Rhinolophus ferrumequinum: one gene and its partner. The protein of the gene in region 1 purifies or fractionates together with the protein of each later gene. This does not show direct contact. Links are inferred from orthologs where the notes say so. Each region holds a gene or a part of one and is shown in the gene's direction. Other genes may lie near its edges. The genes, in order: DPF2 and SMARCD3.

Region 1 (15,083 bases):
CCTCGTGGGCTACCTGGACCCCCACTGCCAACTGCTCCTCCTTCCCTCAGATCCCTCAGACGAAGGCTATGCTGAAATGGACTCCCCTTTCAGCTCCCTTCCGCCTCAGGTCCCTCAGATGCCCTGATCAAGGGGTGGAGGAAGAGGCAGGGCACAGCCAGCCAGATTTTTGGTGTCATGTCCTGGACTGGGAGCGTGGCATCGGTGATCAGTGTCCCTCTACCCCATCCCCTCCCACATGACCAAGGGTTCTGGTTGCAATAAAACTTGCTGCTCATAGTTGTGCTCCCCACACTCTTAGCCCTGAAGACAGGCCAATCTCTGCCACCTGGGCTGACCCTTGGGGAGACCCCAGCCCTTGTCTTTCTGCCGAGCAGGCCCTGCCCTTTGGAAGATTGTACCTGATTCTGAGGGCGGGGGGCTGGGAGGGATCCAACAGTGCTGATCAACAGACTCAGCTCATCAGCGCTGTTTATTGAGCATCTACAGTGCACTTGGCCTGCTCTAGGGGCTGGGGATGCCAGACGGACGCCATCCCGGCTCTCCTGGAGTTTGCATTCTAAGAGGGAAGGATATTAAATTTGTAAGCAAGGAAGATGATTTCCAACGGTGTTGATCTATGAAGAAAACGTGATTGGGAATACCTGGGGCAGGGGTGGGGTGGTGTCAGGGGACATTCAGGGATCAGATGTGATTCTGAGCCAAACGTGGGCTAACAGACATATGCTCAGGCATAAGTAAAGGTACTGAGGCACCAGGGTGAGTGACAGAGAGGAGCCGCTATGTAGTGAAAAGATCTCTAAGTCCTACCTAGCCTGTGTGAGACTCAGTTTCCCCATCTCTACAATGGAGTCAACGATACCTGCCTTGTAGGGTCGTTGAGCAAACCAGGGATAATGTTTGGTTATGGGGTGTCATGTAAAGGAACTGGGGGCTCAGGAAAGGCAGGACTGGGAAGCTGGGAAAGCATTTTGCAGTCAGAACAGGGTGCTTGCTGGCTGCAGCTGAGGCAATGGGAGCTGCTGAAAGATTTTTAAGTTAGAGAGACGTGGTCAGATCCAGGTTTTATTTTTATTTTTTAAACGGCACAGCTCACAATGGCTCATTAAGGGATGGAACCGGCAACCTTGGTGTTACGAGCACCACGCTCTAACCAACTGAGCTAACTGGTCACCCCAGATCCAGGTTTTACAAGGGTCACCACGGAGGCCAAGTGGAAGATGGACCAGAGATCAAAGAGGAGGAAGCCCTTGCAGGCTGAGGAGGACCGGACCAGATGGGAACAGTGGGGACAGAGAGGAGGGGAAAGCGTAAGGTGGGGCTCGGTGCTGGCCTCAGTGGTCCCCTTTCATTCTCAGTTGGTTCTATTCCATCCTTTTGACCCTCTGAGTCCCAGACCCCACCTCACCCCCAACCTTTCCTGCCTCCAGGTAGAAATTTCATACTGGAGGCAGAGACAGAATTAGACCAGGAGACATTTTGCTGGGCCACACAGCTTTTTTTTTTTTTTGCAGGTGATGCATTTTTTTTATTGTGGTAAAATATATATAACATGAAATCAATCATTTTAACCATTTTTATGTGTATGGTTCAGTGGCATTAATTACATTCACTTTATTCAGCAACCATCATCACCATCCATCTCCAGAACGGTTTTCATCTCCCCAAAGTGAAACTCCCTATCTATTCAACAATAACTCCTCATTCTCCCTGCAACTGTCTCTGAATTTGACTTCTCTAGGGACTTAATATGAGTGGAATCAGACAGTACTCGTCTTTTTGTGACTGGCTTATTTCATTTAGCATCATCTCTTCAAGGTTCATCCATGCTGTATCCTGTACTGAAATTTCCTTCTTTTTAAAGGCTGAATAATAGTCCATTGCACATATACATCCCATTTTGTTTATCCATTCATCCATCGATGGACATCTGAGTTTCTTCTACCTTTTTGCTGTTGTGAAGAAGACTGATGTGAACATGGGTGTTCAATATCTGTTTGAGTCTTTGCTTTCAATGCTTGTGGGCTGGATCGTATTGTTCTATGTTTAATTTCTTAAGGAACCACCGTATTGTTTTCTATAGCAGCTGCACCATCTTACATCCCCACCAAACTTTGTTTTTAATCTGAAAATTTTGCCATCATTTAGAGATTAGGGGCTTCCCTATCTGTAGTGGGATTTAAACCCAGGTCTGTGAGACCCCAAAACCTATACTTGATTGCAACCCTCTCCCCCACAGGGCTTCAGCTTCAGACTCTGGTAAAGGGTGAAGACAAAAGGTGAGCAGCTGAAGGGCCAGCGTTTTCTTGCCTGCTACAGGCTCCTCCTCAGCATCTGGGTGGCTTGTCCCCCACATGCCTGGGAGGGGAAGACAAGAAAAAAGGACCCTTTCCTTAGAGCTTCACCTGGCTGGAAGGCAGCACCTGACCCCGGACCTGAGCTGAAGCCAGAGTAGCCACAAAAGGGGGCCATTCTTGCCTTGCGTCCCTTGGAACTGTTCCCCACTCACCCCGCATCAAGCTCCAGTCCAAAGGCCCTGGGAAAGCACTAGTGGCTGCCATGTTGGGTGGAGAAAAGGAACTAACAAGCAAGAGACCTGAAACATCAGATTAACTTCTCAGGATACCTGCTTACACCTGGGGTGGAGAGCAACTTTCCCTCGTCAGCTCGTCCAGTGGTGGTCAGGCACCATGTCCTACAAACACCACCCACAAAAAGGAATGCTCCCAAATAGGAAAAGTTGAATAAAGTGACAAACGTCCCTACAGTCTACTGTTTTACATGCCCAACACTCATGATGTCCTTATTCTGTATTTACTCTTTAAAAATAGTATATATCCTCCCTAGTAGAATGCATCTATTCCTGTCAAAAATACAGTCACTTTTTCCAAAGAGCGACAACTCAAAATCTTGCCAATTACTACATCTACTTCCAAGTCCAAGATTTCTAGATGACGTCCATTCCTCCTGCCATTCCTTTACAAGCCCATCTCAATATTTTGTAAACCATAAACTACGCTGTAAAGTTCATTACCACCAATACACCCTATAGACGAGTGGAGGGAAAGAATAGTGGGAGAATTAAAATACTGTATCAAATATATACTTGATATACGAAGAAAGCTACAGACTTTTTCTCCCACAAAGCTGGAACTGGTAGCAATCAATTCCCTCTTTCACTACCCAGCTTCTGTTCCCTTTGACCTCAGCCTCTATCTTGGCTGTTCAGGGTTTTTTACCGGGTGACATGTTGCAGACCCTCATTTTTAAAGAATCTGACACCTTAGTGAATCTCCCCGTATAGAACTGACTTTTTCCCCAAACTTTTTATTTTGAAAAACTTCAAAACTACAGAAATATTGAAAGACTAGTATAATGTAGATCCATCTACCTTCACCTAGATTTGCCAATTTATTAGCATTTTGCCTCATTTGCTTTATCTCTGCATACAAGTTTTTTCCTAACCTTTTGAAAGTTAAGTTGCTGACATTGTGACACTTCATTCCAAATACTCTAGCGTGTATTTCCATTAAGTCTTTAGCTAGCTTGGGCTTTACTGGACTTCTTAAACCTGTGGCTTCATGTATTTCATTATTTTTGGAAAATTATCATTTGCTCTTTAAATATTGCCTCTGCCCCTTTCTCTCTCCTTACCCTCTGAGACTCCAATTAAATGTACCTTAGAGCTCTCTATATATCCTCTATGCTTCTACGCTAACCCTGTATTTTCTGTTCTTTTGTCTTTCCGTGATGTATTAAGGATAACTTCTTCCTACCTATTCACTGGTTCTCCAGTTCTGTGTAATCTGCTTTTTAACCAACTTGTTGTTTTCTTTGGGTTATTGTATTTTTCAGTTCAAGAAGTTCTACGTGATTCTTTAAAAATTCTGTTGTAGAAATTCTTAATAGGTGCTTGTACCCTGCAGATATTTTTATGCTTGTCTTCACCTTCTTTAAACACAGTAAGCAGTATTATTTTATGGTCATTATCAGATAATTCCAGTATCTTAAATCTTTGTGGATCATTTTGTGTTTTCTGTGGTGTGTATCAGTTCTCGTGCAAGATTTCTTTGTGTGCCTGATTACCTTTGACTGGACTGGATATCATACCTGAAAAAATTGTTTTAGAAATAATTTGAGGCCTTGGATGGCAGTACATTCCTTCAGAAAGAATATTGCTTGGTACCAAATATGCTTGCTTTTGCCAAGTGACAAGGAACATTATAAGGATGGGTCCAAGTTCAACCCAAGTTTAATCCAAGTTCAAGGCTTGAGTTTTCCTGAACCACCCAGATAATATGATTCTGGGATATTAGTCCGTAGAAATAGGAGTCCCATCTTAATGTGCGTGCTTGTGTGTGTGAGTGTGTGTGTGTGTGTGTGTGTTCGTGGTGGTGGGATATCTGACCACCGGCAGGCTCTGGGTTTTGATTTTTGATCCTCCCACCAAAGACAGCTCAGTTTCAGTTATAGCTTCCAGATCAGTAAATGTCTTCAGGACAAAAATTGCTTTGAATTCTGGGCTTACCTCTTTGGATTTCAGCCTCCTAAATGTTGGCCCAGTAATTTTTCATTATATTATTAGCTTTTGAATGGTTTTAAGATTTTTTTTTTCCCTTTCTCTGATATTTAGTTTGTCTTAGTGGGAATTAAATACCTAACCAGGAGCCTGTCTCCCATTAACTACCTGAATGTAACATTAAGAAGATCCCCTAGGTTTCATTTCTAGTTCTCCCTGCCCCCACTGGGGAATAGCAATCCTATTACCCCTTGATAATAAGAATCAATCACCCCAGCCAACAGTGCTACCCGCTTTTCACCTTCTTGCCCAGTGGATGTGGAATACAAAACGACCCACCGGCAGGCTCAGCTCCTAATTTAGAGAAATCCTTATTGTGCCTCTGGAGGAAGCATTTCTCTTCGGTCCTCACGGCTCTAGATCAGCAAAAGCCGAGTCGCAGGAACAGGAAACATTTTGCAAAAGGGTCATTAGTTGAGATGGCAAGCGGCTGCACCCCCACTTCCACTCCTTGGTTCCTGTCTGTAAGAGAAACACTATATACTCGTCACTGGTCACTGCTCAGAACATGTAGGGTATCTACTGTTCAGTGATTTCTTAAAAAAGAATCCTACAAGACCTGAAAGCCATTGGTGCTGGGCTCATAAACTGCCTTTCCGATTGTACAGAACTAGCCTCCTTAGTATTACTAATTTTTTATTTTAAAATTTTTACTGACTATACATACAGAGAAGTGCACAAATCTTGTGTAGTTCAATTCATTTTTACAAAGTGACAAACCTGTGTAACTACTACCCAGGTGAATAAAAAAAATATTACTAGCACCTCGGCAGCCACCTCCTGCCCTCTCCTTGCCACTGTCCTCTAAAGGTAACCGCTCTGCTGACTTCTATCCCCATAGATTAGTGTGTCTGTGTATGTGACTTTATATAAATGGAATCATACAAGATGTCCTCTTTTAAAACTGACTTCTTCAACTCAATATTCAGTTTTTGAGATTCATTCATGTTCTGTAGCAATAGTTTATTCTCTTTATTGTTGTTTAATCCATTCTAACTGTCGTGGGCATTTGGGATGTTTCCAGTTTGGGGCTATTACAATTAATGTAAACATTCTTGTACGTGCTTTTTGGTATATAGATCCACACATGGAAATTCTGGATCAGAGTATGTGAGTGTTCAGCTTTAGAGCTAGCACACTGCTTTTGTTGGCTCAGGCTGCTGTAACAACATACCATAGACTAGGTGGCTTCAACAACAGACATTTATTCCTCCCAGTTCTGGAGGCTCAAGATCAACGTGGCGACAGATTTAGTTCCTGGTGAGAGCCCACTTCCTGCCTTGTAGACATCTGCCTTCTGGCTGTGTCCTCACAAGGCTTTCCTCGTGAAGAGAGATCCATCTTCTTACAAGGACACTAATCCCATCATGAGGGCCCCACCCTCATGACCTCACCTCACCCTAATTACCTCCCAAAGGCCCCACCTTCAAAAACCATCACATTGGGGGTTAGGGCTTCAACGTGAATTTTTTTTTTTTGGCGGGAGGACATTTAGACCATAACACATCTTTCTGACTCTCGCATTGGAGTCACCTCTGACACCTTTTGTCCTCCCAATCATTCAGTTCCCAGGGGTAAAAGAGTGCACCAGTATTATCTCTGGTTTTTCTTCCAGGCTGCTGACACCTATTGTGCAAGTTTGATGGAAGGCAGACAATGACACATACCTCTCAACTGTCATCTGCCAAACACGATTTTAAGGCACAGTGATGGTAAGATGTGCCCTGATTCTGAATTATTAAAATGGGGGGGAGAGAGGACATGGAATATGTGCATCTTGGAAATGATGAAATAAGGTATATGACAGGGACAAAAGACCAAGCCCTGGAGACTCTGACAGTTACAGGTGGAACAGACGTCGGAGAGCCAGAAAAGGCTGAAGGAACTGACAGTGTGACAGGAGGACAGCCAGGTGCATGCCTCAGAAACGTGGTAAGGGAGAGACTGGTGGTCACTTGTGTCATGGGGTTGACAGGCTGTTGGGGACAGAGGAGATCTCTAAGTCTGTTGATTTTTGTTAGGGGCTATTTCAAGTGAACTGGTGGGGGGAAACATCCCCATTAAATTGGGCAGAAAGACTTGGAAATAAGTCAACAGAGATAGGGAATATAAACAGAACACTTGCTATGAAAAGGTAAAAAGAAATAGGGTGATAAATGAAGACATGGACTTAAGGAAGAGCTTCGCTTTCTTTTAAAGAGAATATTAAGCCATGTTTGTACACGAATTTGCATGGCTCAACAGTGAGGGAGAAATTAATTGTACAGATGAGAGAAGAACAGTTGCAGGAAGGAAGTTCTTCAAAACCTAAGTGGAGGGAAGGAGCTTAGATAGGAGTAAGAAGCAAGGGAGAAGAGATGGGTACCAGTGCAGTTGGTGGGTGAGTTTGGTGGCAGGAAGATAACTTTATCAGACCCCAATATTTAGGCCAAAGAACTGCCCAGTTCTAGGCATTAATTTTCCTCTCCCTAAAATGGGAATAGTATGTCTGGCGGCCCAAGTGAACTATGCACCACTCTTACCTTCCGCTACCCACCTGTGACTGAGAGCAAAGAGTTAAGCACGAGATTAAAGATGAGCGAGGTTGCAGGACGCATGCACTCCATCTAGCCCACCTCTGGGCCTGCCAGTTTCACCAACCTCTCGCCTTCTCCTTTCTGGACCAGGGTAAATCCCGCTCCCGCTCCTCCAAATGGAAGACGCAGGGCTCAAGCAGGAGGCTGGGGCGCGCGCCCGTACCCATCGCGCCTGCGCGTCGGGCTCCTCGGCTCTCCGGCCGCGGGAGCGGGCGCCAAGCGGGTTCTCCGCCGCTCGCTCTGGAACGCGCGCGCGCTCGGGCGGCGCCTGCGCAGAGGGACAAGGAAACTAGGTCCCCCCCGTTAGGTCCCGGCGCCTGCGCGCTGCAGGCTCCGGGCCTCCCGGCCTGAGGGAAAGGAGCAGGGAAGATGGCGGCCGTGGTGGAAAATGTAGTGAAGCTGTGAGTGGTCATTTCTTTCTCTCCTAGGCCGGGAGGTCTTGTAAGGGGCCTGGGAGGAGGGGGCTGGGCGGGAATGGACGAGGCGAAGAGAGGGACGTGCCGGGGAAGGCCATGTTGCGACTCCTGCTGTGGAGGGCAACAGGAGACTCCGGAGAAGACGTTGCGCTTCTTTGGAAACTTGTGGAGGCCCTGAGGGGGGCACACGGGAGCTCCTGACGGGCAGCTTCCCTGGGCTGTGTGAGGCTTACGGTTTCCAGATTATGGCTCCCTTGTTGCGTACGAGAGACACAGTTCCGGGGTCCCTTCCGAGACGCCGCAGTCCGGAGGAACCCGGCGGAGGGCGGACCCGGGAACGACCAGTGTCCCCGCGAAGGCCGGCCACCGACCCCTCCCGGTCGACTAAGCGGCCCTGGAGCAACAGGCGCGGCACCTCCACGCGGTTAAGCACCGCGGGGCAGCCCCGCGGCGTGTGTGTGTGTGGGGTGGGGGGTGTCTTAGGTAGCAGGTATTCAAGACCAAAAATATTCTCGGGAAGAATTTGTTGAGCAGATACAGAAGGGAAAGAACTTCAGGGGAGAAGGCCTTTGAGCTGGCCAGTCCCAGACATCAAAACACGGGAGCTGGACGGCAGGATGCCTTTGCAGCTGGAGGCGCATCGAGGGCGGCAATACTCTTGTGCTGGGCAGATTTCGAGCAAAGTTAAAGTTAATGGTTGTTGGGGAAATGGCCTGTTAGCTATGAGTTCGAGATGCTTTGGGAGTTGATTTAATACAGCCTCCTCCCTGACGAAGAATCTGAATGGGTTTTGAAATGGGTTCGTGCCCCGTTGGGCCAATAGAACAAGCTCCTGTTAATTGGGCTTGGTGCAGGGGTAGGTACGTTGAGAGGTGTCTAGTTGTCCAGCCAGGGCTTTCGGATTTTGACTGGATGACAAGGTAAAGGTTTGGGAACTATTCTAAAGCTTCTCATTTGTCTTTGTGGTGGGCTGAGTCCCACTCTTCCCAAGAGCCTTTTATAAGGTACATTGCTTCTCCCCGCCTCCCCTGCCTGGAGCCTTTTCTTTGAGAAAGCTTTCCCACTTCCATTAAGCTAAGTGCCTTCTCCTCTTGTGGTTTTTTTCTTTTTTTTTTTTTTAAATTTGCTTTCAGCTCTATCCTGCTGCCTTTTTTCAGCCATCCCTCCTCCCATCACTGTTATCTTTCTCTGTGATCTGCCCACTCCAGTTTCCTCAGCTCTCTCTTCAGGCTGACATTTCCCTCAATTTAGAAATAATCTACCATTTATATAGTTCTTCTTCCTGACTCAGATGTTCTTTCTTTGTTTCCCTGCCTTTCTCTTTGTTGACTCCCCCCACCCCATTGTAAGGGGAGGTTTTACACAGGTTTCATGCTTCCTGAAAAAGAATCAAAGCTTCTACCTCGCAAATCTTACTACACTGGAAGAATGTCCGACTGGCCTAGGTTTTGAGAGTGTTATGTAATGAGATTTTTTTATGAAGGAAGACTTTCTTCCGGGAAATAGGATCGCCAGCCCTTTTGTGTAGTGTTAGAAGTGGGGAGTTGCCCGATTAAATAGAGCAAGATTTCTTATTTCTCTTTAAAGAGCTATAGAGATTGTGAGGGTCACCAGCCACTGGTTCCTGAGTACCAGTAATGAGAAACCAACTTTCTCCTCAATTGTAGTTGCAGAGGGCTGTGGATCACAATGAATACATTTTCCTACAGAACTTTCCCTTTAAGAAGAGGCTTTCATTCCTGTACCACTCTCACCCTGTGAGATGTTTTTCTGTTGCTCTCTTGATCGTGGTGTGTCTCGTCTTCTGACAGCTGAGGTTGTATTCATCGAGGTCAGGACTACCAGCTCATCTTTTCTGACTTCCATCTGTTTTGGGAGAAGAATTGCCCTATTTGTAAATTCTCTGTCCCTCCCAAATGTGGTATCAGAATTGAAACAGTCTTTAAGGTGTCTTACTAAGGTAAAATAAGAGTACTAAATAGCTGTGGCTGCTGACTAATTTTGATACCTTCTGATTAGATAACAAGATCTAGAGAATAATGTCAGCTTGAATTTTTTGGGATAGGATCCTTCATTTCTTCAAGAGCTCTCTCATTCTCTCTTGCTCTCTCTCCATCAGATCCTCTCTCCCCCCAATTTGTGTTTCAGTCCCAGCTCTCTTACTCATGGGACAGTTTGCCTCACCTTCTGAAATTCCCCTTAACTCACAAGAACTTTACTCTCCATTCCCCCCCAAGCTGTTCCTTGCAGCTCTCAGCCCATCTGGCCCTTCCTTCCATTTGACTTCCAATGTCAGTATCAATTCCCATCAGCAGAAACAAAGTAGCTGCTGCTCTCAACCTTGTTTATCCGATTTTTCTGTGTTAGGAGGACATGGCTGCCTCCTAAAGGCAAGCCAAGGTGAGCCTGTTCTGTGCTCTCCACTCGCCAACACAGGATTCATGCTGCCTCAAATCACAGGGATTACAGCTCATTGAATCAAACCAGGCTATCTTGTGGTGTCACCACCTTGTGTGTGGTGTGTTTTTTCATTTGCTAGGAACTTGCTAAGCTGTACCTAAGTGATCTATTGTGGCTGCTCAATGAAAGCTCCCCTCTGATTCCAGAGAAGAGTTTGTTGGTGTAGCTCAAGTTACGTACATAAGCCACACAGACTTACTCTGTCCAGCTTCTCATGCAAGGGGTCTCCCTCTCATAGAATATGTTAGAACTTATCTAATCCAACCTCCCCAGTCTATACCTGTGCGTGTTTATTTGGTGACTTTCATCCAAGCCAGGTCTTCTTACTCCTAAGTCAAATCAAGATGCCCCAGACACCTTACCTTCATGGGTACTGGGAATACTGTGGGAAAGAAATTGCCTCTGCCCTTTGTTTAAGATTATCAAATATATAAATACGAATTGTTATAGTTTAAGCTCCAGTGCTAAAGTGTTTGTTAAGCCCTGAGAACAAGATTGGTTCTATATACACACTTAGAACCAGATAACTCCTGGCACTGTGCAGTTTTCCAGCTTCTTAGAGCACTTAAAGATTTACCCTTGATTGAGATTTCAAATTGAGTCTTTTGAGTCCAAAATTCTTTCCTATATACAGTGGTACCTCGGTTTTCGAACGTCTCCGTTGATGAACATTTCGGTTTACGAACGCCGTAAATTTTATGGATCTATGGTATCATTAGATAGTAAAGAAAAACTGCTAAATTTTTCTAAATTCATTTTTACTATCATTAGATAAAAAAAACTGCTAAATTTGCAGTTTTAGGGGTTGATTTTAAAGGTCTGCAACGGATTAATCCATTTTGCATTACTTTCTATGGGGAAACCGCACCTCGGTTTTCGAATGTTTCAGAACTTGAACGGTCTTCCGGAACGGATTACGCTCGAAAACCGAGGTACCACTGTAATTTGATGGTGTGAAAAGGAAGAGCCTGGGATGGGCCTTTGAGAAAACACGTTTAGTATTGGTGTAATGGTACTTAGTAAAGAGTAGTCTTCAAGGAATTCCAGGTATTTTCAGATGTTTTCCATTGACTATAAAATTAGTATATAGAATTAATTAATTGGCTAAGTACCTAGTTCAAAATTCAAAAGACATAAAAGCATGTAGGAGAAAGTACCCACGTCACCTGTTTTTTCTCCCTGGAGGCATATAGTTTCTTTTCCACCTCTTTGTTCCATAAATGGTAGTATTCTCAGCACTGTACTGCTTTTTTTTTCCCTAGATATCTTGGATATTGTTTAATATCAGTACATGAAGAGCTTCCTCCTTTTTTTATGGCTAAATAGAATTTCATTGTATGGATATACTGTATTGTATGGATATACAGTTTGCTGACTATTTTAGTAAAGTCCCCCAGACCTTGTTGAATGCTTCTTCTGTTGTAAATAGGAGCTAACCACTGCTTCTCAGAGTCACAAGGGTTAAGCGAAATAGCATCTCGAGTAGCCAGAGTTTGAACTCAGGAGAGACACAGAATGAACATTCGTTTCTTCTTTGTGGGTTAGACTTAACGTCTGATTAGACAAATGATGAAGTCATGCGTTCCTGACGGTAATTTATTTGTAAAGTGTCTTTTCTCATAATGGCTTAGTGAAGGGGCTTGGCGTCCCATGAGGCAGAAATGGAGGCAACTAGAGCCAACGCAGCAGTCTCCCGATCCCTTGAGCCTAGTAGAGAAGCAGATGGCAAAGGAGAGGAATAGTTCAGCGCCCTGTGCCCTGCCCCCAGCCCCAGCACATACACGCACACCTGGTTTTTGTCTTTCCTGCAGCCTTGGGGAGCAGTACTACAAAGATGCCATGGAGCAGTGCCACAATTACAATGCCCGCCTCTGTGCTGAGCGCAGTGTGCGCCTGCCCTTCTTGGACTCACAGACCGGAGTAGCTCAGAGCAACTGTTATATCTGGATGGAAAAGCGACACCGGGGTCCAGGTGAGGGTCCTGACTCAGGAGCGCGAGGAGGAAGAAGCCTCCTCGTATTAGGGGTGAGGCAGCTGAGAGGGTTTTCCCTCCTGCTTTCCACCTGTGGATGGATGTGATCTTCCCATGATTAGAAGCCCAGGGAGGAAGAAGCAGATTCATACCGGCATTTTGGTTTTCTGCAGGGCTGCCCTGCTGAGGCTGTTATTGGGCTTCTGAAAAGCTGTGTATTAGCCAAGGCCCCTGAGTTAATTTTTCTTTTCCATAAACTATCCCACCCACACCCCCGCCCCCAGCATTGCCCATATTCCTTTTTTGCGCTAGAACTCAAGTGGGGCCTACTCATCTAGAAAGTGTTTGATACTATTTTCTAGCTGGGTTATGGCTTAACTTCCCTCTCTTCTTTCCACAGGTTTGGCCTCTGGGCAGCTGTACTCCTACCCTGCCCGGCGCTGGCGGAAAAAGCGGCGAGCTCACCCTCCTGAGGACCCAAGACTTTCTTTCCCGTCTATTAAACCAGGTAAAGCACACGCCTCCCTGAGCAGGTGCATGGCCTGCTGCATGATCAGAGGCCTGCTAATCTTCAGAGCTAGAGCCTGAAGATACTAAAATGAATCAGATGTGATCCTTTCTTCAAAGAACTCAGTCTAATAAAAGAGAGAGGTCAACAGATAAGCTGTGGCGCCAGGTGAACAAGGGCTTCTGGGTTCCTGGGCAGCCAGAGACCAGAAGACGGTGGCTGGCCTAGCACGGTGCAGACCCCTCTGAGCCTCGCCTCACCCTGACCTTGCCTGCAGACACAGACCAGACCCTGAAAAAGGAGGGGCTCATCTCTCAAGACGGCAGTAGTTTAGAGGCTCTGTTGCGCACCGACCCCCTGGAGAAGCGAGGCGCCCCAGATCCCCGAGTTGATGATGACAGCCTGGGCGAGTTTCCTGTGACCAACAGTCGAGCAAGGAAGGTACAAGGTTAACACTCTGGCTAAGGGAGCTTTGATGAAATCCAGCCTCCTCTTCATCAGAGGCCACCCAGTAATCAGAATGGCAGCAGACACTGCGGGCCAGGAGGCTGGCCCCTGGAGTTCTGTTCCTGCCTCATTCCCTCATTAGCGCTGGGTGCTGGCTGGCGTCACTGTTACCATCCAGCCTTTCCCTCTTCTTTCCTCCTAAGTGCAGACTCTCCTTCATTCATCTTTGTCACAAAAGGTGTTTGGTACCTGGGGTTACATAGATGAAGCAGACCTTGTTCCCTGCCAACAGGGACGATAAAACTATACATAAAAATAACAAGCTGAAGATACTCCAGGCGCTGTACTCGCTTTTCCATCATTTTCTCCAGTCTGTACAGCAGGGAGGCTGAAGCAGAGCAATTAACAGAAACTTCCCCCAAGGCCACACAGTTAAGCAGCAAAGCTCCAAATCTAGGAAGTGAGCTGCCGGAAGGGAAGCACCGCTGCGCGTGCCCCTGGGGCAGGAAATCAGAGGCAGGCTCCTTGGGCTGTCCGGGAGTGCTGCCTGGTGACCTGGCATCTGACTCAGCCCTGGGAGGCGGTGGGAAAGGCATTCCGGGCGAGGGGAACCACACGAAGGGCCGTACAGAGGAAGGCGAGCCCAAAACACGGGAGGAGCAGGATTCTAGGCTGTTGAAACACAGCAGTGGGGAATGAGGATGGAGCAGAGGCCCGGTCCCAGAGGAGGCTGTGGGTGGCCTTGCGGGGGAGTCACTTCTGCCCCCTCATCCCCCTGTCCTCTCAGCGGATCCTGGAGCCGGAGGACTTCCTGGATGACCTGGACGATGAGGATTATGAAGAGGACACGCCCAAACGGCGGGGCAAGGGGAAGGCCAAGGTGAGGGCCGCAAGCTGCCCGCGGGACGAACCACCACTCCCAAGAGAACTGCCCTCACGGCCCAGGCACCTTCATGAGCCCCACTTTTGCTCTTCTTGACAGGGTAAAGGTGTGGGCAGTGCCCGTAAGAAGCTGGACGCTTCCATCTTGGAGGACCGGGACAAGCCCTATGCCTGTGACAGTGAGTGCCTCCCGAGTGGGTGGGTAGCCTTGCCTTGGACCCAGCTCCCGCTCAGGCGATGAGAGGAAGGAGGGCTGTGTTCTTGCTCAGAGTGGTAAAACAAGCCTGGACACGTCCTGCCTGCCGACTGCTTCCCTCTGAGACCCCTGGGAGGCCCTGGCCTCTGCTACCTGCCGGGCGGGACCTGCATGCTCTGGGAGAGGCTTCTGCTGTCCCCTGGGGTGGGGGTGCCAGTGAGGGGGCACACAGCAGGCAGTCACCCTCTCGATAGATGGCACCCAGGTCTGCTGGCCCCAATCAAGCCAGGGCCCCAGGAGTCCAACACCGAGTGTTTCAACGTCTGTTCTCTCTCCCCCTCTGCTCTGACTCCCCACTTCTGTCCCTCCACCCTGGGAGCATCATCGCCGCTGGGGTTTCTCTCTCGTTTGCTCTGCTTTCCTGCTGCTGCTGCTCCTGTCTCAAGTGTATCAAGGCCTTCTTCTCATGACTTTTCTTTCTGTCTTTCAGATAGTTTCAAACAAAAGCATACCTCGAAAGCGCCCCAGAGAGGTAGCTCTCTCAACTTTTCAGACTTTTGGTTTTCCTGTCCCTTTTTCCCTCCTCCCGTGTCCCTCCTGCCTCTCTCATCTCCTGTGATGCTCGTTTCAAAGTCTGGAATGGCATGGAGATAGGAGCAGTGGCCCTTCTGCTGTGCTCCACTCCTCACAGTCCTAGAGCTGCCGTTACCACTGCTTGTCTCCCAGGAACTTGCTCCTAGGGCTGCTCGGGCCCACTGCATGGGGTGGCTTCAGAAGCATTATAAGGACCCCGTTCCAAACAGATCCCTCTCCTCCCCCCTTCCCCAAATCAGACACTTGGTGGTCAGCTCCTGTTCCCCACCACCCTCCTCCTTCCCGCTCCCCATCCTCTCCTGCTGGCCCCCTTGCTCTTCTCAGTATCGCTGCTCAGCAGTACAAGATGCCTTGTGGGGATCCTCTGTCCTTGCTGGTTGGTGGGGTTGGGCAGGGCACTGATTGGTTGGGAGTGTCTTTGAATTTCTTTGGGGGCCAGCTACCACGAAGACT
Region 2 (15,950 bases), on another chromosome or scaffold:
GCGGGAGCCGCAGTGAGCTTCTTGCATCTCCCACCCTGTGGAGGCCTCCAGCCCCATCGCTCCCTGTCTGCGCCCCAGATTCCCTGAGTCCTGAGGGCTGAGGCCGTGTCTGGCATGGGCACCAGCAGCACGGCACAAGCCCGTCACCTGTAGGTGCTCACTAACCACGGGAAGGGGACGGCAGAGGGGGAGGGCACCGGTGCGGGGAGGAGGTCCTGCGCTTCCCTCAGATGCTCCATCTGCAGCTCCCCAACCTCAGCCTCCCCAGGCCACCCAGTGGCCTCGCGAATCCTTAGATTTAAGTCCAGTTGATTTGCTGCTTGTGGCTCCTGGGTGTCTCCTTACCCTCCTTAGGCCAGCTTGAGTTCTTCAGACCTGTGGCCACCAAGTGGCACCAGGAAGGCGGGAGAACACGGCCCTGGGGCTACCCGGGCACCCTGCCTGCTTATGGCCTTGTAAGCACGTGTTCCCAAAGGAAGCAGTGCTTCAGGTGGGAGGGCAGGGAGCAGGGCGATGTGATCATGTGCGTGTTTCCTCCCCAGGAGTTACACGGACACACGTGTGTGTCTATCCAGGGAAGCCACTGAACCGCCCACTGCTCCATGCACAGGAGTTAGGGGCTAATTCAAAGTGTAATGAGGATTCTACCCTGTTTCCCCGAAAATAAGACCCAGCCAGACCATGAGCTCTAGTGTATCTTTTGGAGCGAAAATTAATATAGGACCCGGTATTGTATTATATTATATTAAAGACCCGGGCTTATATTATAGTAAAGTAAGACTGGGTCTTATATTAATTTTTGCTCCAAAAGACGCCTTAGAGCTGATGGTCCGACTACGTCTTATTTTCGGGGAAACACGGTATTTGGGGGCCTAAAGGGTAATTCTTACACAGGATCTAAAGGAACCTACTGAAATTTATTTTAGACACCTTAATAGCAAATTTTCTGGAATTTGTATTCCCAATGTTTGAAACAATCTGCTTGAGATTTTTTGGGGGGTTTATTTCAAAAGGTAATTGAGGGTAAATCAGCTTAAATATACAGGCCTCTGGGGATCTTGATGTCCTTCTTTAAAAGACAGGTGTAAGGGCCTGTGTGTATGTGTGTGTGTGTGTGTGTGTAAGTATTTCTATCTGTCAGGCATTACGCAAGGGCATGTTAGGGAGGCAGCTTGGAATAAAGGAGAAAACCCGGGGCCTTGAATCGGGAGACTGGTTTGCAGTCCCAGCCCTACTTCATGACAGCACAGTGACTTTTGGCAAGTCACATGGCTTCTCCAGGCCTCCTTTTCCTTATCTTTAGAATGGGAAGCCTCCCCGCTACCTGGTCGGGTCTCTGTCAGGATTAGGCCAGTGACTGTGGTGAAAGTGCTTGGTCAACAGTAAAGTCGTATACAAACCTAAGCTGTTGCTATTGTTATCAATCCTACGATAACATGAGCACAGATTGTAACATCATCCGGCATTTGGAAGCGCGTGAGAAATCCCCAGCTGACTTGGCGTGGGTGCTCTCTCTCCCTCTGAGATATCACGGTCTCTACCAGGTGCCAGATGCTTGGGATTTATCCATGAAAAGACATAAAAGAGTCTTTTTGGAGCTTACATTCGAACAGGGGAACGGAGCAGTTAAACACTAACATAATAAGTAAGTAGATTATATAGAATGGTGGAAGGTGTACAGTGCTATGGGGAAATGAAGCAGAATAAGCGAGATAAGGTGTGTGGAGTGGACAGAGGGCTGCAATTTTAATAGCGTGGACAGAGTTTGCCCCTTTGAGAAGGAGACATGTGAACAAGATTTCAGGGCCCTAGCCACGCAGGTAGCTGGTAGACGGGTGTTTCAAAGAGGGAACAGAAGGCCCAAAGCCCCCAGGCTGGCGAGTGCCTGGAGTTTCTGAGGAACCACTAGGAGGCCAGAGGCTGGGCAAGAGAGAAGAGTGAGGGAGTGGCGGGAGCTGAGGCCACAGAGGGAGCAGGCAGTGGCGAGGGGATTGGGTCCTGGGACCCGCGGGAGCGTGGCCCTTACTTGGAATAAGATGGGGGGCTTTGGGAGGGTTTCAAACAGAGAAATAATGTGATCTGACTCCCCTTTTTAAAGGATCGCTCTGGTTGCCATGTTGAGAATAAACTGCTGGGGGCAGGTCGGAAGCAAGCTAGTTCATATTCACCAATTGCACCAGGGTGGGAGCTGTGCGAGGTGAGAAGGGGTTGGATTCCGGATCAAGAGGCAACAGGACTTGCCTTCAGATTGGATGTGGGACGTGAGAGAGAGGCAGGATTCCAGGGTCATTCCGAGGTTGTGGGCCCAAGCAATCTGAAGGAGGGTGAGGACGGTGAGAAGGAGAGGCCACATTTGAGGCAGAGGAGCAGGAGTTTTGTTGTGGGCGTATGAAGTTGGAGCCATCGATGAAAGATTCAGGTGGAAATGCTGAGTAGACAGTTGGATGTAGGAGTCTCAGGGCTGGGAGAGAGGATTGCGCTGGAGGAAAACTTTGGGAGCTGTCAACATAGAGATGGTATTTAAAGCTCTGAGACTGGATGACAGATGAAGTCGCCAACCAGGTGATTGTGGAACAGTGAAGAGGACCAAGGACCGAGCGCTGAGGTGCCCCAACTGAACGGAAAGAAGAGCTGGACAGCCCAGGAGGTGAGAAGGGGCAGCAAAGGACCCAAGAGGAAAGCCCAGAAAGAGAAACGTCCTACAGCCAAGGGAAGAGAGTAGGTCCGAAAGGAGAGAGTGGTCAACTGTGTCAAACGCTGCAGCTGTTTAAGCAAGATGATGTCTCAGCGTTTGGCAGTATGGGCTGAACTCACTGGTGGCCGTGACAGGAGCATTTCCAGGCTGGCAGCGGTGGGATGTGCCCCTAAAGGAATTGGGGTTTCTGGGGAAGTGAAGGCAGTAAATAGAGACAAGTCTTTTTAGAAGTTTAGTTGCAACTGGGCCGTAACCGATGGGGGACAATGATGGGACTTCGTGTGCTCACAGGAGGAATCCAGTAGCCAGGGGAAAGCTGACCGTTGGTGGTGAGGGAGAGGGTTGCTGGAGCAAAGTCCTTGAGGGCGGGAGAGGTGACGGGAGGCAGGACACAAGAGGATGGGCTGTGGACCAGCGCACAGATAACTTAGCTGTAGGAACACGGGAGAGAGCTGCTGGGAGGCAGGAGGACGGGTGGGAGTCTCTGGAAGGTCGTTGGAAGCTTCCCTTTTCTCAGTGAAGCGAGAAGCAAGGGCACCAGTTGGGAGTGAGGAGGGGAAGGAGTTGGAAGTTGGAGGAGGAAGACGTGGAAAACTCAAGTGGAAGAGGGCAGCGGAAAGAGAGGGAGGTCAGGCAGGTGAAGTCTGTGCTCCTGAAGCGCCAGGGAGACCAGGTCAGGACGACTGAGTGTCTTTCTCCTGCCACATTCAGGCGCTGGGTGCAGGCGAGGAGTTGGTGAAGCTGGATTTAACTCTTAAGTAAGAGAGTCCAGAATATATGCAGGGGAGGTTAACATGGTAACTTTCGTGTTACGTCTCTTTTACCATGGCTTAAAAAGAGTGGGTAGGTGTGATGAGGGGTACAGGTCCAAGTAAGAGATTGCAGTGGAGTCACAGTCTTTTGGGGGTCAAGGCACTGGACAGAGTGAGCTGTAAGGAAAGGAGGTAGTGGTCAAAGAATGGGGTGCATTAGACTGAGTTTGAGGGTGGGGGCTGCAGTTGCTGGAATGACGAGGTCCAAGAGATGACTGGAGTTGTGGTGGACGGAGGGGGAAGGATCACCGCAGGAGAGGTCGCCAGGGAACCAAGCCCGTGAGAATCCTGAAAAGCAGTAGGAAGTAGATAGGAGTCGTGTTGGCGGGAGTGACAGTGAGCCAGGAGCTGGAATCCTCAAGAAATGAAGGTACTGTGTATGTGGGTAAGATGCAAAGCCACCTGCCAGGGCAAGGCCAGTGGTAGGGGGGCTCTGGGAAAATCATCCTTGGGGGTGGAGCATAGCTTCTGTTGCAAGCAAGCCAAAGCGATGTTCACAGAAGTGGCCACGTGGATTGGGAATTTTATTTATGACAGACACACAGAGGGTTTAGGTCGGTGGGAGGTGAGAGAAGCAGAGGGGGACATGGAGCCTGTGGAGCTGACAGTGCAGGAGTTGAGGGGAGTCTGGGCTTTCCATCGCACCTGACACAGTCATGAAAGAAGGGCATGTGACAGGCAGGTGCACCAAGGCAGAGGTGGCAGAGAGGCAGCTTGCGAGGTTAGGAGAAGAGAGGGCAGGGCTCCCCGGGCCCTGTCGGTGAAGGGGAGAAAATGCGTTTCAGATCCTGTGACTGAGCAGAACTCATCCTTGACTCTGGATGGAGTTGAAGACATCTGGGAGGCCAGGTCCCTGTGTTGTTTCCCTGGATATACTATCTATACGGTCCACTGCCAGCTGCCCTTTGGTTTAATTTCCCCAAAAAATGTCTTCAAGGAAATGCAGAGGAATTCTTTTCTCTATTCAGTTTTCTTCCCTCAGCTGATATCCCAGACCTCAGAATGTAGGGGTTGGCAGAAATCGCTCTGACCACCTGGTCAGAGCAGTAGCTGAGGCCTCGGAAGCTTCCCAGGTGAAGGGCAGGACATATGCCACCAGGAGACTGAAGTACAGCCAAAGGCCTTCCCAGCCCAGGGAGGACGAGGGAGCCAGGGCCCAGGCTCGAGGCCTGGCAAGGGGGGACAGCACCCTGTCCTTCCCCTGGCACTGCCAGCCAAGGCCCTTCGGGCCTTCCGGAGGTCAGCAGTAAAGCAGCAGCATCTCATTTCACAGATGAGGACACAGCACACGGGGAGGAGGTAGCATTCCTAGGACCATGTAGCAGGCCGTGAGCAGAGCTTGGTGTTCTCAAGAAGCCGCGCGCGGCTGCCCTGAAGCTCCCCAGGCCATGAACACAGTGAGAACTGGACCAGTGTCTGTTCCCATCCTTGCCAAAATGGGGACCAGGCCAGTGTGGCTCCTTTTGGCACACAGCCACAAGCTGTTGGGCGTGAACTGCTACAAGACACTGCCTAATGAATGGCGGCCATGAGGGGAGTGAGCGAAAACTGGCGGTGAATCTAAAATGTGCGTAACCTCTAGGCCTGCGCATGCTCAGGGCCCCAGAGCCCCAGCTCCTCTCTCCTCCCAGGACTGGCAGTTAGAGCATCCTCTGTTTGCACTTACTGTGTGTGAGGTGTGTGTGAGGGCGGGGGGGGGGGGGGGGGGGGGGGTGTCATAGAGCCCCCATTAGACTGAGGAAACCCACCCAAGCAAAGAAGGTTTCCAACTACGCTTTATCCTGCACCTGCTTACTATGCAGGCCCCTGGGGGCCGCAAGGGGGCCCTGCTCACAGGAAGCTGACAGCATTGGACGTATGTGTGACAAGGGACCAGGCTTCACCTTGGGTTCGCAGCACCCTCTGACTGGGCGTGGGCCTGCTTCTCTGTGTCTGCCTTGGTTCCTGTCTCTGTCTTATGGAATCCTTGGATTTCAGGGCAGGAAGGCCCTTCTTTTACTCCTGAGGAAGCTAAGGGACAGGGAGGAACAGCGACTTGCCCAAGGTCACACAACTATTTTGGTGTCCTATTTTTCCTTTGTTTTTTACTTCTTTCTATCATACGTGTTTCTCTTGTGTGTTTGCAAAACTGACACAGAAAGGCGAAGTCTCACAGAGGAATAGACAGCCCCCTCCATAGTAGCAGAGGGTCCTGGACCCAGAAACATTCTCCCACAAAGAGGAAGAGACCCGGTGCTGCTCTGGCCTGGGAAGTAGTGAGGGGTGGGGTGGAGGAAGTCCGTGCCACCAAGCCTCTGGTCTGTTCTGCCAATGTCCTTTCTGCTGGCTGGAGGAAGCCCCTCACTAGAGGTGGGGGTTAAGGGACAGACTCCCCTCCAGTCATCTCTGGGCGCTGGGCCTGGCCCCATTGGCTAGCCAGGGTTCCCTGGTGTCCCAGGACTTAGGCTGGGGCAGAGCCGCCTCTGGGCCCCCTGGCTTGCCCTGGGGTTTAGTGATCAGAGGGGAAAATGGGGGCTGGCTTTAGGGATGGGCCAGATCACTGAAATCAGGGGTCCTTAGCCTGAGAGCTTCCCTCTCTCTCTCTTTCTCTCTCTCTCTCTCTCTCTCAACACACAAACACACACGCCAATCCACGAAGGTAATTCCGTTTCGCCAAGGAAAGCTTTCTTGCTGGGAATAGAGGAAAAACCGGGCAGTGCAGAGGTCTCTCCCTTCAGCTGGCTTTCCTTTGTTCCTCCCCTGCCTTCCTCCCTCTCCCCTTCCCAGCTTCCCTCTCTCCTCCTAGCTTCCTTCTTCCATTCTCTCCTCTTACTCCCCTCCTGCTCCTCCCCCGAGCAGGGTCCCCGCAATAGGACTTCCACAGAAGGTGGGGAGGGTGGGACTCCGGGTTCCGGCCCCAGCCTCGGTGACCATCTTCCCGCAGGGAAGGAGTTAAGTCTCCTCGCTGCATCCCTCCCTCCTCCGCCTCCCCCTGCCACTCCGAGTCCTGCAGCTAGGCCCTGGGCTGACCTTCACCGGGAGGGAGGCCGCAGTGCGCATGCCCGGCCCGGTTACTGCCCGGCTCCCACCGCTGCCGGGGCCCGGGCGGCCGGGCGAGGGAGGGCGGTCGCGGGCCGGGACGTGCCCCCGGCGCTCGGCGCGGTGGGGGGGCTGCCGAGCCTGTCCCGCCGGCCGCGGCGCATCTCTCCCTGCGCGGGGAGCGGCGCTTTGCCATTTGGTGCCGGTGGTGCTTCGGCGAGGGAAGGAGAGATGGGGGGACGGCAGGGGGGACTCCGGCTCCGGGCGCCTGGCGGCCGCCCTCCACCCAGACACGCACATGGCCTGGCCAGAGCGCGCCCTGGGCCGGGTCGGCCGAGGCTAAGGGGACTGGGACTAAGGCCCCCTGCCCGCTGGAATGGGGCATACCCGGGGCCTCCTTCCCACCCGGCAGGAGCCGGTGGCGGGGCACTGCTGAGCGCCCGCCGTATGGGAGCTGAGCCGTTGGGGATCCTGGCCTTTGTGAGGTGGGAGTCCTGGCCGGGCACCCACACTCCCGCCTCTGCTTTCTAGCCCGAAGGCTCCCCCGTGACCACACCCCTGAGGTCGCCCCTGTAAAGTCGGCATGCAAACGGGACTGCGGGCGGGTGCCTTGTGAGTCTGGCCTTATGAGTGGGATGTGGAGTTGGTTAAAGTGTGCCCGTGAGTGCCGAGCCGGGTGGCTCCTGTCCCCTGGTGTTTGCATTGGGGGGAGGGGGCGGGGCATGTATGCATTAGGTGCTGCATAAGGATGTCTCCCAGGGGGGTGGCTGCAGGGGAGGCCCTGGTCCTGGGGGGGTCTCAGGAGGGGGTTATCTATGGACTTGAGTGATTCTCACCAGCTCCTGGTTTCACCATAGCCCTTGGTCTACACCCCTCCTGCAAACTCTACCACCAGCACCACCTCCCTCACAAACGCTGGGAGGGTTCCACCCTCAAACTTACCAGCTACCCAAGCTGGGGTGCCCATCTGTCTCCTCTGCTGTCTTCTTTTTCCAAAAGGCCTATCCAAGAGTTGAGAACTCTGTGCTTCACACAAAGCTAGGGGAGTGTACCCCTGCCCCAGCCCTCTAGAACCTCCAAGGCCTGTAGTTTCACAGGGCCATATGAGAAGCACCCACAGGGGGTGGGGGTGCCGTGGTGACTCCCACCTTCAGGTAAGTGGCAGACTATGAGCTCCATCCACTGGCCCACTGAGCTGTGGGCGGTTGCAAGTATTAGCAGACCTTTGGTCATGTGGACTCCCTGTGTCCAGGCATGAGGGGGGAGTGGGATGTAAAGGCCACTCAGGGGGCCACAGCCGATTTGGGAAACCAGACCTACCACACCTGAAGCACAAAGCATATCAGACATGAGTCAGCCCAGTGCCAATTTATGGCTCAGGATAGGTGGCAGTCGGCATTCAGATAAGAGAAAGATCTGTGCACACAAGTGGGACCAGGGAAGGCTTTCTGGAGGAGGCCTGAGCTGGGTTTTAAAGGATGAATATGATCTGGGCAGGTAGATGGGCAGTAGAGGGCATTCCAGGCAAAAGAATATCTGGAGCAGAGGCTTAGAAATGGGAATAAGTGAGGAGTTTTGTTTTGGAGATTAGTGGACAGACTGGAGAGATTACCTCCCCAGGTTGCCAGCAATCACAGCCACCGTCATGGCTTATGCCAACCACCCAACCATCCTCAGTGCCACTCCAGTGCCCAGCCTTTGTGTGTGTGGGTCTGGGCTAAGGCCCAGGTAGAAATTTGGTAGAAAGGGGATCTCTAGGTCCCCTGCTAAGGGAGCAGGAGGGAGGTAGAGGAGGGGCACCCTGGACCACATGCCCCCTCTGGCCTTTCAGAAGATTCACTGAGGGCCCTTACATGGCCAGGGAGCACACCAGGGCTCAAGGGAAACCGGGCTGCAGGCAGAATGGCCTCCCCAGGCAGAACACTGCCTCAATTCTTTGTCCTGACCTCTGAAGGCATTTTGAAGGGTTGAGGGCAAGGACCCCCAGGGCAATGCTGGGTCTTTCAGGCCTAACCTCAAATAAGTTTTCCTACAAATTACCCCTGGCATTGCCCCACCACCACCACCTGGATTCTGACAGTGCAGCCCCAGGAGGCCTATAAGCTTGACCCACGGTTGTCCCCAAAGGAGGACAGAGGGGTGTGGTCTTTAGGGGCATGGGCAGGTCCAGGGCTCCAAGCTTGGGGATCTCAGGACTTGCTCCTCCTGTTTCCTGTCTTTCCTTCACCCTGGGCTGCCAGCTACCTCCACATCGCGTTTCTGAGGCTCCCTCACACCTCCTCCCCTACCCCAGTGCTCTTTGGGGTCTTGAGGCTGGCCCCACTATCCCCAGGAGCCCCAGCTCCTCTAGGTCTCCCACCCCACACCCTATTCCAAGGCCATCAGGCCCTGCTTGCCTCATTCTGTCCACCCATCCACCGAAGCACCCACCCCAGCTCCTTGCCTTCCCCCACATTTTTCTCTTCCTGTTCTCATGAGCCTGATCCACCTCCCTCTTTCCAAAGTACATCCCCTATTGCCCTCACTTTCTCACATAGAGACAAAGACTCACAGACCCAGAAATAGACTCACACGGAGCTGGAAGACACGCACCCACACGCGCGCACCCGAGGCTCCCGTGGAGGGAGGCACACAGAGAAGGCGTTTGTCTGTGCACGCACGTAAACATCCACACCCACAGCCACCGCCGTGCCCACACAAGGATGGAGACACACTCGGCCGGCGAGACAAGGGCGCACACATCTGTGAACGCAGGGGGACACCGCCTCCCCGGCACACCCACCACTGCCGCCGGTGGGAGGAAGGCCTCGTCCCAGCTCCGGCTCCCCCCATTCCTTCCAGCGAATGTTTCCCTACTTGGCCTGCCAGGTCTCTGGGGAAAGGGCCTCAGAAATGCAGCAGGAGCCACTTGGGGCAAAGTTGGAACTGACTGTTCCCTGCCTGGCCCTGCCGGCGGATTCCCTAACCGAGAAACTATTTGTGGCAAGAGCCGGGTGGCCGGCGAGCCCCCTGCCACCTCCCCTCGCGTCCCCTCCCCGCACCGCCTCCCGCGGCCCTCGGGCGGCCTCGGCTGCAGTGCCGCTGCCCAGCGCCCAGGAGCCGGCTTGCCGGCGTGCCTTGCGGCTTATCTGCGCTGTTTGGACAGCGAGGGTTGGAAAGGCAGGCTTTTTTGTCCCCGCCGAGTCAACAGGCAGACCCCGGGCCGCCGGACTATTTCTGTCTTATCAGTGCAGGAATGCGGCAGCCGCGGCGGCGGCGGCGGCGTGGGCCGTGGGCCGTCGGGGCAGCCCTGACGGGGCCCCCTCCCCACTCCGCTCGAGTAGAAGTGTGAGAGAGCCCAGCAGGACTCAGAGGGGAGAGTTGGAGGAAAAAAAAAGGCAGAAAAGGGAAAGAAAGAGGAAGAGAGAGAGAGAGTGAGAGGAGCCGCTGAGCCCACCCCGATGGCCGCGGACGAAGTTGCCGGAGGGGCGCGCAAAGCCACGAAAAGCAAACTTTTTGAGTTTCTGGTCCATGGGGTGGTGAGTGGGGGAAAGTTAGCGGGGGAGGGTGAGCGAGCTGGCTCGGGCTGAATGGAGGGATGATTGGGAGGGGCCGGGAGGGGGCTCGCTAGCCAGGGCACCACGTCCCGCGGCCCAGCCCCAGGACTGTGCCGGCGCCCTGGCCCCCGAACACGTCGTCAGGCGGCCGGCAGGAGATGGGTGCCCTGGCAGGGAAGGGAGGCGTTCGCATGGGTTCTTGTCAGGGGCTGTGGGTGGGACTTGGGGACTGTCCCCCCCAAGTGGGGGGGTCCCATCTGTACCAGTCGTATTTTCCTCGGTTCTTTCCCTTGTGGGCCCAGGTGTTGACCCTGCCATGGGGGTGGGGGTGGGGGACATGGCATGGGCTGGGCTGTCTGTTCATCGTTGGGAGAGTGTCTCTCTCTGTGTCTCAGGAGCAAGGAGCAGGTGACCCCTGGAGGGCTGAGAGCAGGAAGCTCTCTGGCTGAACAACCTCTACATCCAGTCAGGAAGGCTCGGGGGCTTTGCTGATGGCCTCTGACATCAGGGTCAGAGAGAGGCTCTCTGTAGGGACAGACCCCAAAGTAAGAGGTCTGAGGATCCCCTTGGCGGACTCAGCCACCAAAACCGCTGTCCTTAATACCTCAAAGGTGTGAAGGAAGGGCTGGAGTCAGGGACGCGAGGCCTAGAGACCGAAGGGGAAGGACAGCACTGTCCAGGACTTGCTGAGGGTCTGGGAGGCAGCTGGGCCAGGTTGGAGGGGAGTGGGAGAAGCAGGGACGCTAGGACTTGGGATGGGTGCTGGGGTTGGCATAGTGGAAGCAGTCAGGTTTCCTCTGGCCAAATTTGGTTGTGACCCCAAGGAAGGCACATTCTCGGTGAGGGAGGCCAGAATCCCTTGCATCCTGGCCCTTCATTGGGGGTGGCCCTGGTAGCTGCCACAGCTCCCTGGGGCCTCTTCAGCAGATCCACCAGTATCGCTGGCCTTGATATATCATACAGCAGCTGATAAGGAAAATGGGCTTATTTGGGGTGGCCTGTCCTCCAGCCCGGAGGATCTTTGGAGTAATTTCCCAGGGGTGTCTGTGTTGGTCAGCCGAGTGACCAGTCCTAACTTTGCTGCTTGGGTGGGATTCCCTTTAAAAAGGCCCATCTAGGAAGGAGAGATGCTGTACATATGAATTTTTTATTTGGCCAACTTAGAGCTTCAATTCTTGGGTGGCTGTGGGCCTCACTGCCCACTCCCAGGGCCCCATCTATGCCAGTGGGGAATGATGGGACCTGAGCTCCATTCTGGGCCACCATCCTAGAGGTGTGAGTGACAGGGTCAGGTGGGCGGGGGGTGGAAGACACATGGACAGGCAAGTTTCACTGTGGGAGAGATGGACAGAGACAGCTGGCTGGCTGGGGGTTAGGGTTAGACAAACTGTAAGGCGGGAGGGAGAGTTGGCAGATAGAAGGCATTCACCGGGCTCAGGGTCAGGGCTCCTCATGTCTGGGGGCAGCTGCAATCCTAGGGGTAAAGGGGTAGTGTTTAAATGATAATGGGGACACAGGGTCTGCATCCCTTGCTCCCTAATCTCCTTCCTGCTGTCCCTGCCCCAGACCCCATCTTACCCACCCTCCACTTTAGAGCCACTCAGGTCCTCTCCTATCCCTTCTTCTAGAATTTGGACAAGTGGGGTTTAAAAAGTCTGTGGAACACCTCACTTGATGAATTTGCATCTCATCTGCATCCCCTCTGAGCACCTGGGTAGTGTCAAGGGAATACACCTGCCTCATCTCCTCTCCATGACCCCCTTTGAACCCTGACTGGTGACCTCATTGGGGTGAGGTGGGAAGTAGAGGAGGTCTGTGGATGGGACCATCTCTGGTGAACCAGGTGGACAGCAGGAAGGGAGAGATGGATCTAAGAGGAAATGCAGCTGCTTTTGACCTACCCAAGCCCTCTGGGCAGTTCACCTCCAGGTGGCTCCTCCCCCCGCCCCCCCCCCGCCCCTCCTCCCAATCAGAGAGTCTTGGTGGGGTTTGACCTCAGCCCCTCAGGTTGTCTCCAGCCCCACCTCTAGCCTCTACCTTGGGAGCAAATTATGGGAGTGAGCCGAGTCAGAGAAGCCCCTGGTTCTGGGGGCTTGGAATCAGCCAAAGCCAGTAGGGGTGGGGGCTGAGAGTTCAAAAGTAGGCGCCCAGAGAGAAGCGTGGGGTGCGATGGGGAGGGAGAATGCAAGGCAGGGCGGCCCAGGAAGTGGATTGGGAAGCAGGGAATGGGAAGAGGAGCGCAGGAGTCCCAGCTGGGAGCTCAGCCCCAACCTAGGGGAAGTAGCAGACAGCAGAAAGCCCTGGCTTCTCAGGAACCAGCCGCTCAGGGCTGCCTTTGCCAGGAGCTGCGTGACCTTGGCTAGGTCGCTTTTCTCCTTGAGCCACGGTTGCCTCATCTGTCAAGTGGGATGGAAGGACCTGCTTAATCTGTCTTGCAGAGGAGCGTGTGAATGTGCACATCCTTTGAAAAGGTTGAAAGGAGCCATTAATATTCATTTTCGCGGTACCTTCCGCAAATCCGACGCTGGCAATGCCCTGTGCAATTGCCTGGCTTCAGTTAGCTTCCTGCAGCGAGACGCAAAGCCCCTCCGCCAAAGCCGCGCGGTTCCGGCGCCCCCACCCTTCCCACCCCTTGCTCACGCCGGCAGCATCAGGGTCACCAGCCGGGGTTTTGGGGTGGGGGAGACGCGGCTCACCGCGTTTGGAGCGGGGCCCTGGTCTGACCCGCGGGCTCCTGTTTCTGCTTCACCCCCCGCCCCCCACCCCCTCGCCTCAGCGCCCCGGGATGCCGTCTGGAGCCCGGATGCCCCACCAGGGGGCGCCCATGGGCCCCCCGGGCTCCCCGTACATGGGCAGCCCCGCCGTGCGACCCGGCCTGGCCCCCGCGGGCATGGAGCCCGCCCGCAAGCGAGCAGCGCCCCCGCCCGGCCAGAGCCAGGCCCAGAGCCAGGGCCAGCCGGTGCCCACCGCCCCCGCGCGGAGCCGCAGGTGAGTGGGACCCAGCGCGGAGGGGGCGGGCCGCAAGACCCGCAGGGACCCGGTGGGCGAGGAGCGGGATTGGCAGAGGCGAGGAGGAATGAGCAGCGAGGAATGAGTCGTCCTGGGTGGGATACCGTCCTGGGAGGTGGGCTGAGGGGCCACTGCTGTGCTTTCTTTGTGTGCCCACCATAGACAGGCCGCGGCCGTCGCGTCCTTCTCCTTGTCACCTGCTCGACCCTCTACCCCTTGTCCCCAGGTTCTGGGTGACGCTTCAGTCTTTGGGGTGGGTGGACTGGCAGAAGGGCTGAGGGCAGAGCTTTGGGACTGTGTTTCTCAAAGTGTGGTTGTCGGCTGCACCCTCCCCAGAATCCCCTGGCTTGACTGTTTAAAAGCCCCGGGACTCCAGGTCTTGGAAATCTGAATCACTGACCAGGGGGGTGGAGCCTGGGAATTTGCCCTACGTGGGTGTGTGTGTGGGGTCTGTGCTCAGTCCTGCTTTCAGGTGATTGTTAGGCACTCAAAGATTAAAGAGCTGTCATGATCTGCTCGGGCTCAGGTCGGCCCCCAAGCCACCAGGGGCCAGCCCATTTCCTTATGGGAACCAAATGATGGTACCCCCAAAACCCCTGCTGGTGCCTGACAAGAGACATGCCCCTTTGGGTTTCACTACTTAGCCACACACACATGCTTCCCTTTGCACACCAGATGGGGTCCTATAAAAAGTGTAATGTGGATTGTACCTCATTATTAAGTATTTTTTACACATCAAGGAAAATCCCGTTTATAGGAATACTATGAATTCTTTTACAAAGTGAATCGTGCTGTTATACAGTAAACAAGTCACTGATTTATCTTGTATAAATGGAGAGTGTCACATAGATAATTTACTCAAAACAAGTCAGACCTTTAATGAAAGCTCCTTGCCTAGCCGTGGATTTTTGGACAGGGAGGGGCAGTGGTTGAGAACACCACATGGGGGCAGTATAGAGCCATCCTCTAGGCTGGGTTCTAATCTCAGTTCACCAAGGATTTTCTGGGGTGCTTTCGGGAGTCAGAAGCAGCTACAAGGTCAGGAAGAGTCCAGATCCAGCCCATGGTCACGTCCCACAGGAGAACATCCACACACACTCTCTGGGTCCCTATGGGTGTCTCTCTGGGCCCTGTTGGCAGGTGGGCCAAGGTAGAGTACCCTGCGTGTCAGCGTCTCCTTCCAAGCCCCGGGTAGCAGTGGTACAATCCTCACCAACTTCATACTGTCACCTCCTGCCCCAGGGGTCAGAGTGGGACAGGGTCAGCTTCCCTCCCTCTGGGCTCAGGCCACCTTAGGGGGTGCACCCCTGCTTAGCACAGGAAAGTCCTCAGAAGCCACCCTCCTTCCTTGCCTGTCCTCCCTCCTCCCCAGCTTTCCTCAAACACTTGGCAGCTCCACCGCCCCCATCCCCTCTTAAATCTACATATCTCTGGCCCTGACAATGTGGTGGGGCAGAAGGGGGCTCCCAGGCCAGAGAAAGAACGGGGTCACCTCTGCTCTCGGCGACAGGACAGAGCGCCAATGCCACACACCACTGGCATAGCCCCTTGGGTGGGCAGACTAGCCGGCTGTGGGAACCCCAGCCAGGCGGGGGGGAGATGTTGGGATAATTTAGCAGGTGGCCTCGTTACTCCCAGATCTGTCGCCATGGTAACCTGGTTTTTTCTTTAAAAAATGTACAGTGCCAAGAGGAGGAAGATGGCTGACAAAATCCTCCCTCAAAGGGTGAGTGCCTTTCACAGCAGCCCCCAGCCCACCCCCCCGCCCCTTGCTGCTCTGCTCTCCTCTCCCCCACCCCTCCCACCCTGGTCACCAACCCTCCCCCCTCAGGAAGACAGCTTCAGTGGAACAGTCACTTTCACTTTTTGTTTAAAAAGCTAATTAAGAAGTGAGGCTCCTTAGGTCAGAGGGAGGGGGTGGGGTGGAGGGAAGGAGTGGAGCCAGAAAGGGGGCGCATCCTGGGCCTGGGGAGCTGTGCACTGAACTACTGCGGTCTGAAGACATACTGAGTGCGGTGGGGGGGTAGCTCGGTTGAGACATCAGTTGCAATGACTGGGTGAGGTGCCACGTAAAGGCAAGCAACCACAGAGCCCGTCTCAGGGACCCCGAGGTCCTAACCACTTCGCAGACACCCAAGGGAAGCCCAGAGGCTGTGTGACAAAGGAAAGGACAAGATGAGGTGAAGCCTCAGAGTTTGCTGGGCTCCATGGTGGCTCCAGCCTTCTCTAGTGATGACATGGATGGGTCCCTCTAGAGGGAGAAGCAATGTTTATTCCTACACGTCGAGGTGGCGACTGCTGAGTCAGAATCCTAGGGAGAGGTCCCATTCTCACAAAATCCCAGCATCTGGCCAGCTCCCCTCCACGTCTGTGTACCCTGGGGTCACATGACACGCACACATTCCACCTGCAAGATTGGTTGAGCCCCTGGTTCCCTGCCTCGCTCCTCCTCTTCCAGATCCGGGAGCTGGTCCCCGAGTCCCAGGCTTACATGGACCTCCTGGCGTTTGAGAGGAAACTGGATCAAACCATCATGCGGAAGCGGGTGGACATCCAGGAGGCTCTGAAGAGGCCAATGAAGGTGCCTTGATTTGGGGACAGGAAGCGGGCTCTGTGTCCTGTGCCCAGAATGGAGAAGCGGGGTTGCCCTGGGGCGGCGGGGGCATCCATTGTTCACTCTGTGGGACACTCTTTATTTCGACAGCAAAAGCGGAAGCTGCGTCTTTATATCTCCAATACCTTTAACCCTGCAAAGCCGGATGCTGAGGATTCTGATGGCAGCATCGCTTCCTGGGAGCTGCGGGTGGAGGGGAAGCTCCTGGATGACGTACGTCCTGGCCCAGGTCTCTCCAGGTGTCCTGGGGTGGGTATGGGGCTGAG

Evidence for each region.
Region 2: the proteins of DPF2 (region 1) and SMARCD3 purify together in Homo sapiens (affinity purification with mass spectrometry; 3 studies listed by BioGRID and IntAct, counting the BioPlex papers as one, with this or other methods). This does not show direct contact. The link is inferred for Rhinolophus ferrumequinum from reciprocal best matches to the Homo sapiens genes DPF2 and SMARCD3.

Annotation. Positions count from the first base shown.
Region 1 is NC_046294.1:6,324,451-6,339,533, reverse strand, and holds the start of DPF2 (zinc finger protein ubi-d4), read left to right. Parts: upstream 1-7,407; 5' UTR 7,408-7,524; coding exon 7,525-7,556; intron 7,557-11,842; coding exon 11,843-12,003; intron 12,004-12,403; coding exon 12,404-12,511; intron 12,512-12,788; coding exon 12,789-12,952; intron 12,953-13,745; coding exon 13,746-13,838; intron 13,839-13,940; coding exon 13,941-14,019; intron 14,020-14,526; coding exon 14,527-14,568; intron 14,569-15,083. UniProt on the Homo sapiens protein: Plays an active role in transcriptional regulation by binding modified histones H3 and H4. Is a negative regulator of myeloid differentiation of hematopoietic progenitor cells. Might also have a role in the development and maturation of lymphoid cells.
Region 2 is NC_046309.1:3,655,057-3,671,006, forward strand, and holds the start of SMARCD3 (SWI/SNF-related matrix-associated actin-dependent regulator of chromatin subfamily D member 3), read left to right. Parts: upstream 1-9,585; 5' UTR 9,586-9,965; coding exon 9,966-10,043; intron 10,044-12,837; coding exon 12,838-13,049; intron 13,050-14,753; coding exon 14,754-14,796; intron 14,797-15,528; coding exon 15,529-15,651; intron 15,652-15,774; coding exon 15,775-15,897; intron 15,898-15,950. UniProt on the Homo sapiens protein: Involved in transcriptional activation and repression of select genes by chromatin remodeling (alteration of DNA-nucleosome topology).